Oryzias latipes: one gene and its partner. The protein of the gene in region 1 purifies or fractionates together with the protein of each later gene. This does not show direct contact. Links are inferred from orthologs where the notes say so. Each region holds a gene or a part of one and is shown in the gene's direction. Other genes may lie near its edges.

Evidence for each region.
Region 2: the proteins of gapdh (region 1) and siah1 purify together in Homo sapiens (affinity purification with western blotting; 4 studies listed by BioGRID). This does not show direct contact. The link is inferred for Oryzias latipes from reciprocal best matches to the Homo sapiens genes GAPDH and SIAH1.

The regions. Positions count from the first base shown.
Region 1 is NC_019874.2:20,245,833-20,250,839, forward strand, and holds the start of gapdh (glyceraldehyde-3-phosphate dehydrogenase), read left to right. Parts: upstream 1-1,785; 5' UTR 1,786-1,868; intron 1,869-2,164; 5' UTR 2,165-2,190; coding exon 2,191-2,213; intron 2,214-3,225; coding exon 3,226-3,325; intron 3,326-3,407; coding exon 3,408-3,514; intron 3,515-3,596; coding exon 3,597-3,687; intron 3,688-3,785; coding exon 3,786-3,901; intron 3,902-3,982; coding exon 3,983-4,064; intron 4,065-4,154; coding exon 4,155-4,306; intron 4,307-4,384; coding exon 4,385-4,463; intron 4,464-4,792; coding exon 4,793-4,876; intron 4,877-4,967; coding exon 4,968-5,007. UniProt on the Homo sapiens protein: Has both glyceraldehyde-3-phosphate dehydrogenase and nitrosylase activities, thereby playing a role in glycolysis and nuclear functions, respectively.
Region 2 is NC_019864.2:25,285,678-25,290,712, reverse strand, and holds the start of siah1 (E3 ubiquitin-protein ligase SIAH1), read left to right. Parts: upstream 1-1,457; 5' UTR 1,458-2,380; coding exon 2,381-2,498; intron 2,499-4,007; coding exon 4,008-4,064; intron 4,065-5,035. UniProt on the Homo sapiens protein: E3 ubiquitin-protein ligase that mediates ubiquitination and subsequent proteasomal degradation of target proteins.

The DNA.
Region 1 (5,007 bases):
TTTGTCTTTATGTTCTCCAAACTACATTATCAGAAAACATTTTAAAAGTGTTCTCACACCTAAATAAGTTTCCTGGTGACCCTCAGAGGAGTGGTGCACCAATGTGTCAGCTGGACAGTCTTCTTATAACCGGCCCTGTTGCTTTTGACCCTTTCGTCTTGACCTATTGCTGCTTATATCTAGCAGTAAATCAGTCTGCCTGCTGTTTCAAAGGCATTTCACTCTGACTGCACACATTTTCATCCTTTTTTTTAAATTATATTTGTGTCATTTGGTTGGTGATCTAAATTCACAATAACCTTTGAAAATAACATGTCGCTACCGAAAACCGGGAAAAGATTCCATTTGAAAGCAAAATGTAGAAAATAAGTGTTTCTTGCTGCAACACAAGATGGCAGTATGAGTTTGTTTGTTCCTAGCTATTATTGCACATCTCTGCAGGCTGGACTTTGTACCAGACAGAACACAAGTTGCACAAATGTACCTAAAAGCACCTTTTTACATGAACGCAATCACAAAGTCCCGTCTTTACAGCTTAGAAGTTTACCACTGATGTTTCTGCAGATGTTTGTAGCGAGTCAGTATGAACACAGAGGACTAACGAGTCCAATTTATGTCATGAAATGTTTCCATGTTTTTCTCTAAAATCAATGCATCAGTTTCGTTCCGACTCAAACGTCGAGGTGCTTGAACTGTTGTGAAACAGACAAAAGAAGATCACCACGAGGCAGCACTTGCAGCACTGAGTATATCATGGATCATGAGTTTGACTCGCTGCAATCTAATCTTAGCTTGACCTTTGCGTCCCTTCTTTGACCTTAAGCTGTAAAGCGGCGGCTGGGACTGGCATGCTTGCACTCGGAGGGGTTGTGATAGTTCAGCTATGCCAGGACCACTGGACGTCTGCCACCAAACCCGCCGTTGCTGCTCAGCTTCAGAGCAGAGAACCGTCTCTGCAGCCTGCTGAAACATGCAGAGGAAATCTAAGCGAGCGTTTGTCGGGTCTGGTCTGCTTGTGCAACACGTGGGGAAAATCTAACACCGTAATCTTGGGAGATCTTTTCTTTCTGATGTCAACATTGTTGACAGAACAGGGAGTCAAAAATAGACTTCGGAAGGCAGCTGGCATGCCTGAGCCTTGTTGTGTTTTGAGACTGGTGAAGAAAGCAAAGATTATTAATCTCTAAAAGATAAAATGTGCTCTTGCAGATTCCTTAGCTGCAGCACTTTCAAGATAAAGTTTTACTATAGAGCCGTTTCCAAATGTCCACACAAAAGTCACAGTTCAGGTGAGCAAACTGACTCCGACAAGTTCCTCTGCACGACTCAAGTTGAGCAACTGAGTTTCAACTTTTGACTTGAGCTGAGGGGATAAAACGGCAGAAAAAGAGGCACGGCAACAGAACCATTCAAGTGAAGGGTCATGGTCTTTGAACATTAAATGTCAGCGTCACTAAGCCAGAGATTTGATCCCCCATTTGCTCTCTCCATGTGTCTGCATTCAGTGAGAAGGTCAGCAGGGACCCCTCTCTTTTTTCAGCTGGAGGATCTAAATCAGGACCTCCAAATGCTTCAGACTAAACTGACAGCACATATTTTGAATTAGAATAAATGCTCTAAAGAGTTAGGACTGTAATTAAAAGTTAAATATGAAGAAGAATTGAAAGGAGCTTGACAAAAATGGGATTTCAGAGCCTGTGTCTGAGCAGCTAACGACCTTGACATTCACAGGGGGCGGGGTGAGGATCGGTGACCATTAAGGGGTGTGGCTTTGTCCTGAGGGGGCCATCATAAATACTCCCAACCAAACTTTGCTCTTCCCCACTCACACCCGGAGTCGCAAGACAGACAGAAGCGTCTCACAAACGGTAAAGGCTTCAGCTGTTTCTGGCAGCATGACTCTTTCATTGAAATCACCTGGAGACAATTGATGCAAAACAGTCACTTTGCTTTGTTTCTGCTTGATTGAAGCTGTTTAGAAAGTTGTAAAGTGTCATGGAGAAGTTGCAGCAATCAAAGTGATCCAAAAAAAAAGGACTTGCATGAATGTTTGAGGCCTTCTGCTCATCTTTCTGCCCAAATGATGTGTGATTTTAAAAAAAATATTTGTTGCATAGATTTCTAAAGGATGTTTTTTTTAAATTGTTATTCTTTAATCTCACAGAGGACTAAAGATCAACCCAGGCTAAAATGGTGAAAGTTGGTATCAATGGGTAAGAGCTTTTTCTCAACACTTCAAGCTCACAATGCCACATTGTTCTTGATGCACTTCAAATATTTCCTTTTTAATCATTTTATTTTTTTAATACATTCCTGGAGTGGTTTTGCAAAACGTTCCCTGAATTGTTTGATTTCTTAAAATAAGGATCTCTTAATGAAACTCTGAATGTTCAGACTAACTTTAGCAGAGTTCCAAGAAACCTTGAGGACACTTGATTTAAAGAACAAGCTCTGGTTTACTAAAGAGTTTTTAATTTTCCCTGGCGATCAAGACGTACATGGAGCTGAAGCAATTGGCATCCAATTTGAAGGTGGTGTGCAACATCTGAAGCAACAAGTGTCCCCTGATGCATTTGAACAAACCTTTGCGCCATCTGGATGTTTTTTGTTTTCTCTCAATCTCTGAACTTTGGCCTTTTGGTAGAAAACTTTGAGTTTGTTTCACCCCTTCAACTGGACAGACGTTTTCTTCTACTCTTGGAATTGAGTAGAAATGAAGCTGAATATCTCATTGGATATTGAACTATCACAATCCTGAATCTTTAGTGTTATCTGCCAGTCCTGCTGGCCTCTGTTTTAGACCAGGTTTTCAGGACTGTGGTTAAAAAGTAACCCGACCATTGATCAAACCGCAGCTGTGGCGTCATCAGGATTAACACACTGGCGGTTCTTCTGACTTTTGCCCCCAGAAAGGGGCGTGTGAGCATTTGAGCGGCATGCAGCCCCTCCTCATGAGCTCTGCCCTTTATCTGACTGCAGATTCATGTCTCCTGGGATGTTATGCATAAGCCAACGTGAAGGAAGGAAACAAAATGGGGTTCTTTCAGTGAACCGCGTTTGCTCGGGTTCACCTGAAAGTCAGCACTAGCGTCCCTTACTGAATGATTTCAGGTTATTAGGCATTGGCCCCTTTATGTCACTGCCACTCAGACATAACTGCACAGATTAGATGGCCTCAGGACGCCATCTAGAGGCCAGACTGATACTTGTCCTTCCACATTTCAGTTTTGGCCGTATCGGCCGTCTGGTGACCCGAGCTGCTTTCACCTCTAAAAAGGTGGAGATTGTGGCCATCAATGACCCGTTCATTGACCTGGACTACATGGTGAGTGAAAGACATTAAGTCTTAAATTAAATGGGGGGGGGGGGGGGGGGAGATCTTGTATTCAAGTTATTTTTGTTTTAAGGTCTACATGTTCAAGTATGACTCCACCCACAACCGCTTCAAGGGTGAGGTCAAGGCTGAGGGAGGCAAACTAGTCATTGATGGACACCAGATCACCGTCTTCCATGAGTGAGTTAATGTGCCAGTATTTAATAATCAGTGATTACTTTTTAGGACGACTAAAAGAAAGTGATTGGATTTTTCTTTGCAGGAGGGACCCTACTAACATTAAATGGGGTGAGGCCGGTGCCCAGTATGTTGTGGAGTCCACCGGTGTGTTTACTACCATTGAGAAGGCCTCTGTATGTATGCTCCCCTCTGGATATCATGATTTTTATTTATTTATTTATTTTTGGATCAAGCAAATGCGGAATAATCCTCTTTAAATCCCAAAATGCAGGCTCACTTGAAGGGCGGTGCCAAGAGAGTTATCATCTCTGCACCCAGCGCAGATGCCCCCATGTTCGTCATGGGAGTCAACCACGAGAAGTACGACAACTCTCTCACGGTTGTCAGGTAAGATGACTTTTAATCTACAAAAGGACCGTCCATTTTTGGATCTTACAGCTCTGACGCCAATGTTTCTGCTTTTCAAAGCAATGCGTCCTGCACAACAAACTGTCTGGCCCCCTTGGCCAAAGTCGTCCACGACAACTTCGGCATTGTTGAGGGCCTGATGGTGAGAGCAGACGCTCCATTAAACGATTTTTGCTGCTGAATGTTCAGACTCATTGAACCCACCTCCCTTTTTGTCTTGGTCTCTCTTCAGAGCACAGTTCATGCCATCACTGCCACCCAGAAGACTGTGGACGGACCCTCTGGTAAGCTGTGGAGGGACGGCCGTGGTGCCAGCCAGAACATCATCCCCGCCTCTACCGGAGCTGCCAAGGCTGTGGGAAAAGTCATCCCCGAGCTGAACGGGTGAGTCCTCAGTGGGTTTTTTAATATTACAGCATACATGCTGTCAGGGTCTTAATTAAACACTTAAAATTTCTACAGCAAACTGACCGGCATGGCCTTCCGTGTGCCCACTCCCAATGTGTCGGTGGTTGATCTCACAGTCCGCCTGGAAAAACCAGTGAGTGACCACAAATCCTTTTATTTTTCCTTCATATGGATTTATTATTATTATCCATATTATTATCACCAGGGATTAAGATGGAATCTCTTAATAAAATTAATCTGCAAAACTGTACAGTTTCTCAGATTTTATTCACTTTCAACATCTACCTTGTGGGCTCTTATTTTCTGCTATATTCCGTGGTCTATATGGTAAATTTCAGCAGGTGAAGGTTAAATGAAATATGCGTACATTTTGCGTTCACCATTTTTTTTCTTTTTTTTTTAATCCAGATGCTAGTCGGTTATTATGGTTTATTTTATTTATGGTTTTGTCTTTGCCTACAGGCTAAATACGATGACATCAAAAAGGTAGTCAAGGCTGCATCTGAGGGACCCATGAAAGGCTTTCTTGGATACACAGAGGACCAGGTCTGTAGCCAGCTGTCTTTGTTTCTCTCTTTTTATTTTATTTTATAGATCATCATAATTTTTCATTCACATTTTCTTTGTTTTCCTGCAGGTTGTCTCCACAGACTTCAATGGTGACACCCACTCCTCCA
Region 2 (5,035 bases), on another chromosome or scaffold:
ATCAGTTTTACACCACAGACCGGACTTGAAGGTGAGATGAATAAATAAACGTTGCATATGACCACCACCATAACAAATATTTTCTAAATATAATAATAAACGGGAATCTGCTGTGTCCAATTTTATCAGCAGTGTCTTTGTAACATAAGACAGGGCTCACTGCGTGAGAGCAACCTGTCCCAATAAATCCATATTTTAATTAAGACTCCTGATATTATCTGTTAAATGCAGCTTTCTTGTTGATTTTTGAAGTCATCTCTCTGATTCTTATACTGTGCAGAAATTGTCCAAATAATTCGGTTTGAGTTTCTTTTGTCATCTTGGGGTTATTTTGGTTTTACCGCCTGAGTGGCTTCTTTAGGAAGGTCACACATGTAGGAAGACATGTGACCGAGCGACTTTACATGCATAAAGTGTCACGGAGAGAATCTGGTAGTTTTTCCCAAATGAAATGGCTTTCAAAATCACTAATGACTAAAATGGAAATTTGTTTTTTCTTTCTGTGTCTGGGTACCAAGTGACCCTTTGCCCAGAAGAGACCCCCAACCTAAGGAGTCAGGTTGTTCCTATGAGTGGTCTGGTCGAGGGAACAGCTGATGTTCTACAGAGTTCTCCGGTCCTGCTGGAACTTTATGAAAACTTGCTGTGTCGATGACATTTAGTCCCTTTTGTGCTTCTTTTTTTTTGTATATTAGCTTAAGAGCTGAATTTGTAAAAAGAGTTGGCACGTTCAAAAAGCTTTTTTAGATTAAGCTAATGCAGTCTTGTTAAAAGTATTACTTAAAATCAGAATTCAGGGTTTCTGCGTTGGCATAAAGGAAACTTTAATGTGCACTGAAGCCAAGATGTTAAGATGTAGCAGGAGAATTGTTTTCTCACAACACTGTCTGCTAGCCACTGGCAGGTTTGACTGCAGACCTCCCAAAAACTGCTGCCTGAACATCCAGACAGAGATTTTGAAAGCAGACACGCTCCGTCTTTGATGCAGCTGCAGACGTGTTTGATCTCTTATCAGATTTGTGAAAATAACTGAGTCTGAGGGGGCGAAAAAATCCTTCCGGCTTAGCATACGGTGGGCAAGGAATTCCACAGATTTGGTCCATGTGGAAATGAAGCACAAAGAAAAGCTTCTCCTCTTTGTCCTCTCGTGAGCAGATGTTGACTCTGGGATGTGCTGCATCTTCAGCATCGATGCTCCGAACGGTAAACGCTGAGCGAGCTTTTCACATACCTAGAGTGCTTCTCAAAAACAGGAAGAGCACTTTGAGAAGGTGAGACGCTGCTGTAGAGTGTGTAAGTAAGTTATGCTGAAGAGCAAATGTGAGCCAGAGAACGCAGCCCTGTGTTCTCTGGCTCACATTTAAAACGTGGACAGAGGAGAAACGGGCTGCACTAAAGGAGAAAGGAGGTATGAAGTCAGAGGGGTCAGCTGGTGCTGCAGCTTACAGCTATACCAGCTGAAATCTGAGACTTGCACAACCACAGTGAGGCGGAGGGAGGGGGCAGAGGGAGGAAGAATGTCCAGCCTGGAGAAAGAAGGCAAACTGCAGGCTTTCAGAGGACACGAGGCTGCAGGAGCAGCAGGGAGATGCAGCTGGAGCTGAGCTGAGACATGTGAGGGCTGAGCCTGCAGAGACAAAGATAAAGACTCGCGCTGGATGCGGACTTTAGCTCTGTGTTTCAGACAAACACAGCCAGTGGCGCTGACACCGACCACGCTCCCCAGGACAAAGAACATCACTGAAATCCAAACCGAGAAGAAAGTGAAGGGGGAGACTTCACACTGGATTTTTTTCTTCTTCTTTCATTTCCTCTCGGGGAGCCAAGGTTAGGTTTCTGAGCTGGGGCTCTCTTGTTTTGAGGATTTTTCTTTTGCAAACTTGCACTTTTTTTTGACTCCTCTTTCTATACCTGCTAACCAACCGCCCCGTGGAATGTCAAATAGTTCCTGAGTGGAGAAACTGGATAATTACCCAGTGTTGGTGAAGCTCTAATGACTCTCCTAAACTGCCTCCCGTTTCCTGTGCAGACTGGCGAGTTGATTAACCCTTTAGCCTGCCTGGCTGCTGTCCGGGCTCCTTCTGTTGCTTCTGCAGTGGAGTCGCTCAAACACCCTGGACTCTGACGTTTTCCCGCTGTTAAGGATCTGCTGGTGTTTGTTTGGACACAACCCTCGTTCTGGATCTGCTGCAGAACTCCAGCCGCTCAGAAGCTTGTACTTTCCAAGGGGAGAGGGGTGGGGGCGGGGGCGGGGGTGGCAGGAGGGGAAATATGATCCAGTATTTGGAGGAATGCGTAGAGCTCCAGCAGCAGTGTGTGGTTTCCATGGAAAAGGCCTGAGCAGCGTGGCACAGAGGGGCTGCATACATGCTTTACCTCTATGTCTGTGGTCCAAGTGAAATCCAAGCAGACAAGTGTAGCTCCACAAGCTCCACCCTGGAACTCCCTGTTCAGGCTGCTCTCATGCGTAGCAACCAGGAATGTGCACAACACTAAAGGTGAAGCGCGTCGATCCTCACCAGCTCCATGTTTCTGCCCAAGGTGGCTTGAATTGGCACTTTGTGTGCAGGGGGCCGTGTTGGCACACCGATGCTGTGCGTGACGTGGGCGAGCACAGAAGATGCTTTTAACCGTTTCCCTGCGTACATTATGTTGCACTGTTTTAACGTGGATTAACGTTTGTGTTGAATCCCCCTTCACCTGTCCTGATGTTCCTCTGTTTAGTTTTGTCATTCAGGATATTTAATTTCTTATCATAGAAGAGAAAAGGGAACGACGGGAATGTTTTCTTCACAAATAGCACTTTTGAACATTTATTAAAACTAATTTGCTTTTTAAATATTCATTTTGTGTGTTTATGTTTTGGTCCTTTAAGGGCCTATACCAGGCTCTTCTTAAGCCTTTTATAGTAAAAAATATATATATCCATGTATATGATGATATATTTTGGGACACAAAAGAACATTTCTTTTAAAATTAAATATTAGTTATTTTCCTGAGTTCTTTTCCAATCAGGAAGTAGGACGACTCCATCTCTGAGGCTCCGCCTCTCGCTCTGTGATGCACAAAAGATGTTCTTGTTTTCTGTCAAAAGATTCATCACATAGTTGAAGGATTCAATATATACAAAAAAATGTACAATTTGTATTTACTCAACATTGTATTTAGGTTTCTGCTTGGTTTCTTAAATAACATCAATTAAAAATAATAATAATTTCCAATCTTTTGAGAAAAATATCCAATCTCTTAATTAATGAAACTATTTCTAGATTATATTTCTTCAGCTTCTAAAAGGGAAATGGTTTTCTTTTGCGATGCGTTTAAAGATTGTTGAGCCTCCATGAGGTTCATGGAGGCAGAAGCTGTTGGTGAAACAGACTTTTTGGTCTGTTTGCAACCAAACCATTGGCAGAACAAAGACAGGAAGATGTTTATGGTTTATGGTTTCCTTCATCGTTGGTGTTCACCTTCACGCCCCGAACCATCGATGGTCTTATCCGTCTACCTGTTCCCACACCGTAGCCCTGTTTTCTGCCTATGTTTGTAGACGAGACGGTTTATGTGGAGATGAATTTTTAGTTTCAAAAAGCAGCTTCCTGTGTTTGCGAGTTCTGTTTCCACACAGAAGGAGACATTGTACGTCGTTTTAACAGAAACCTCAAATCAAATGTGATGCAATCGTGTCCAGGAATAATTTGCTTTGTGTAGATTTTGTTCAGCTGAAGACAAACGGGTTTCACTCGTCAACCTTTAGTCCAGAAATGGACCAGACTTACTGAAATATGAATGAGTGGCTCTGCAGCAAAGCGTCCACACAGCAGAAATCTAAAGTGAGCACGCTCTGTGTCCTGCCCATCAAACACCGCCTCGGCGCCATCCGGCCCTCACGTCTGCCGGAACATCACAACAATCCGAGCCCACTTCTGTGTCTGACTGGAGAACAAAGCAGAACGTTCAGAACCAGCCTGTCGGGTTCTCATGTGCACTTCCTTTGTTTTCTCTTTCAGAGGTCCAAACATTTCAGGAGCAGACAGAAGCCTTATTTGGAAATCTTATGGACGAAGGTCAGTCTGTCTTGTCTGTCAATCTGTCTGTCTGTCTGTGTCTGAGTGGATCTGTTGGGGATTTGCTTTACATTTACAGGATCGATGGCAGCTTTGTTGGTTTTCCCATGTCTGCTGTAGTTTTGTGTGTGTGGGCTCAGACCTTTCTGTCGGGCTGATCAGCCGTCCCGCTGCAGGGCCCGGCCCACGCCGTCTTTATCTGGCAGCTCCTCGTCAGCTGGCACCGGGCGTGCCAACTGAACAAGTGATGCTATGTTTATCCAACACTGTTCAGCTCCTCGCTGCCAAAACGCCCCGACAGCAGGACCCACGACCGAGGTCCTTCCAGAAACGGGGCCCTGCGTCAACCCACCTAAGCCGAACCACTGAGTGCCTCCCAGAAATCTGATGTTTGATAACTGAAACCTCTCCCTCCAACGTCTTTTCACTCTTCTCTGCTGTCAAGCAGAAGAGAGTTTCAGCGTGTGACCTCATCGCTGCACTGGAACGTTCTCCTCACACAAACGCTTTCTGTCCGGCTAAAATAAGAACTTCTGTTTGGAGTAAACTTCTGCAGAGTGTTTGTCACTCACATGTTGGAGGCACCGTCTCAGGTTTCCCTTCTGTGTGCCGTCTGTAAACACCCCCCCCCCCCCCCCCCCCAACACGCACGTCAGAGATTTGCATCCTAAGCCAAATCAGTCCCACTGCTCCTGCTAGCATGCTAATAATAACTGATTAGCTAACTTCATGTTCAAGGATTTTTCATCCCTATAAACCATGATGACATCAGAAAACATCAGACATGTGTTCTGTGGTCTGAGTTCTTCTGGGTAAATAAATGTCTTTCTCCTTTTCAACACAGATCTTGAGTGTTTAAAGAGCCTCGAACTTTATTAACAAATACAGAGCTGGAATTTATGTTCAGTGTAGAAAAAGAAAAAGAAACATTCCTACGGTTGACGAGAATGTTGAAACAAAAAAAACAAGCA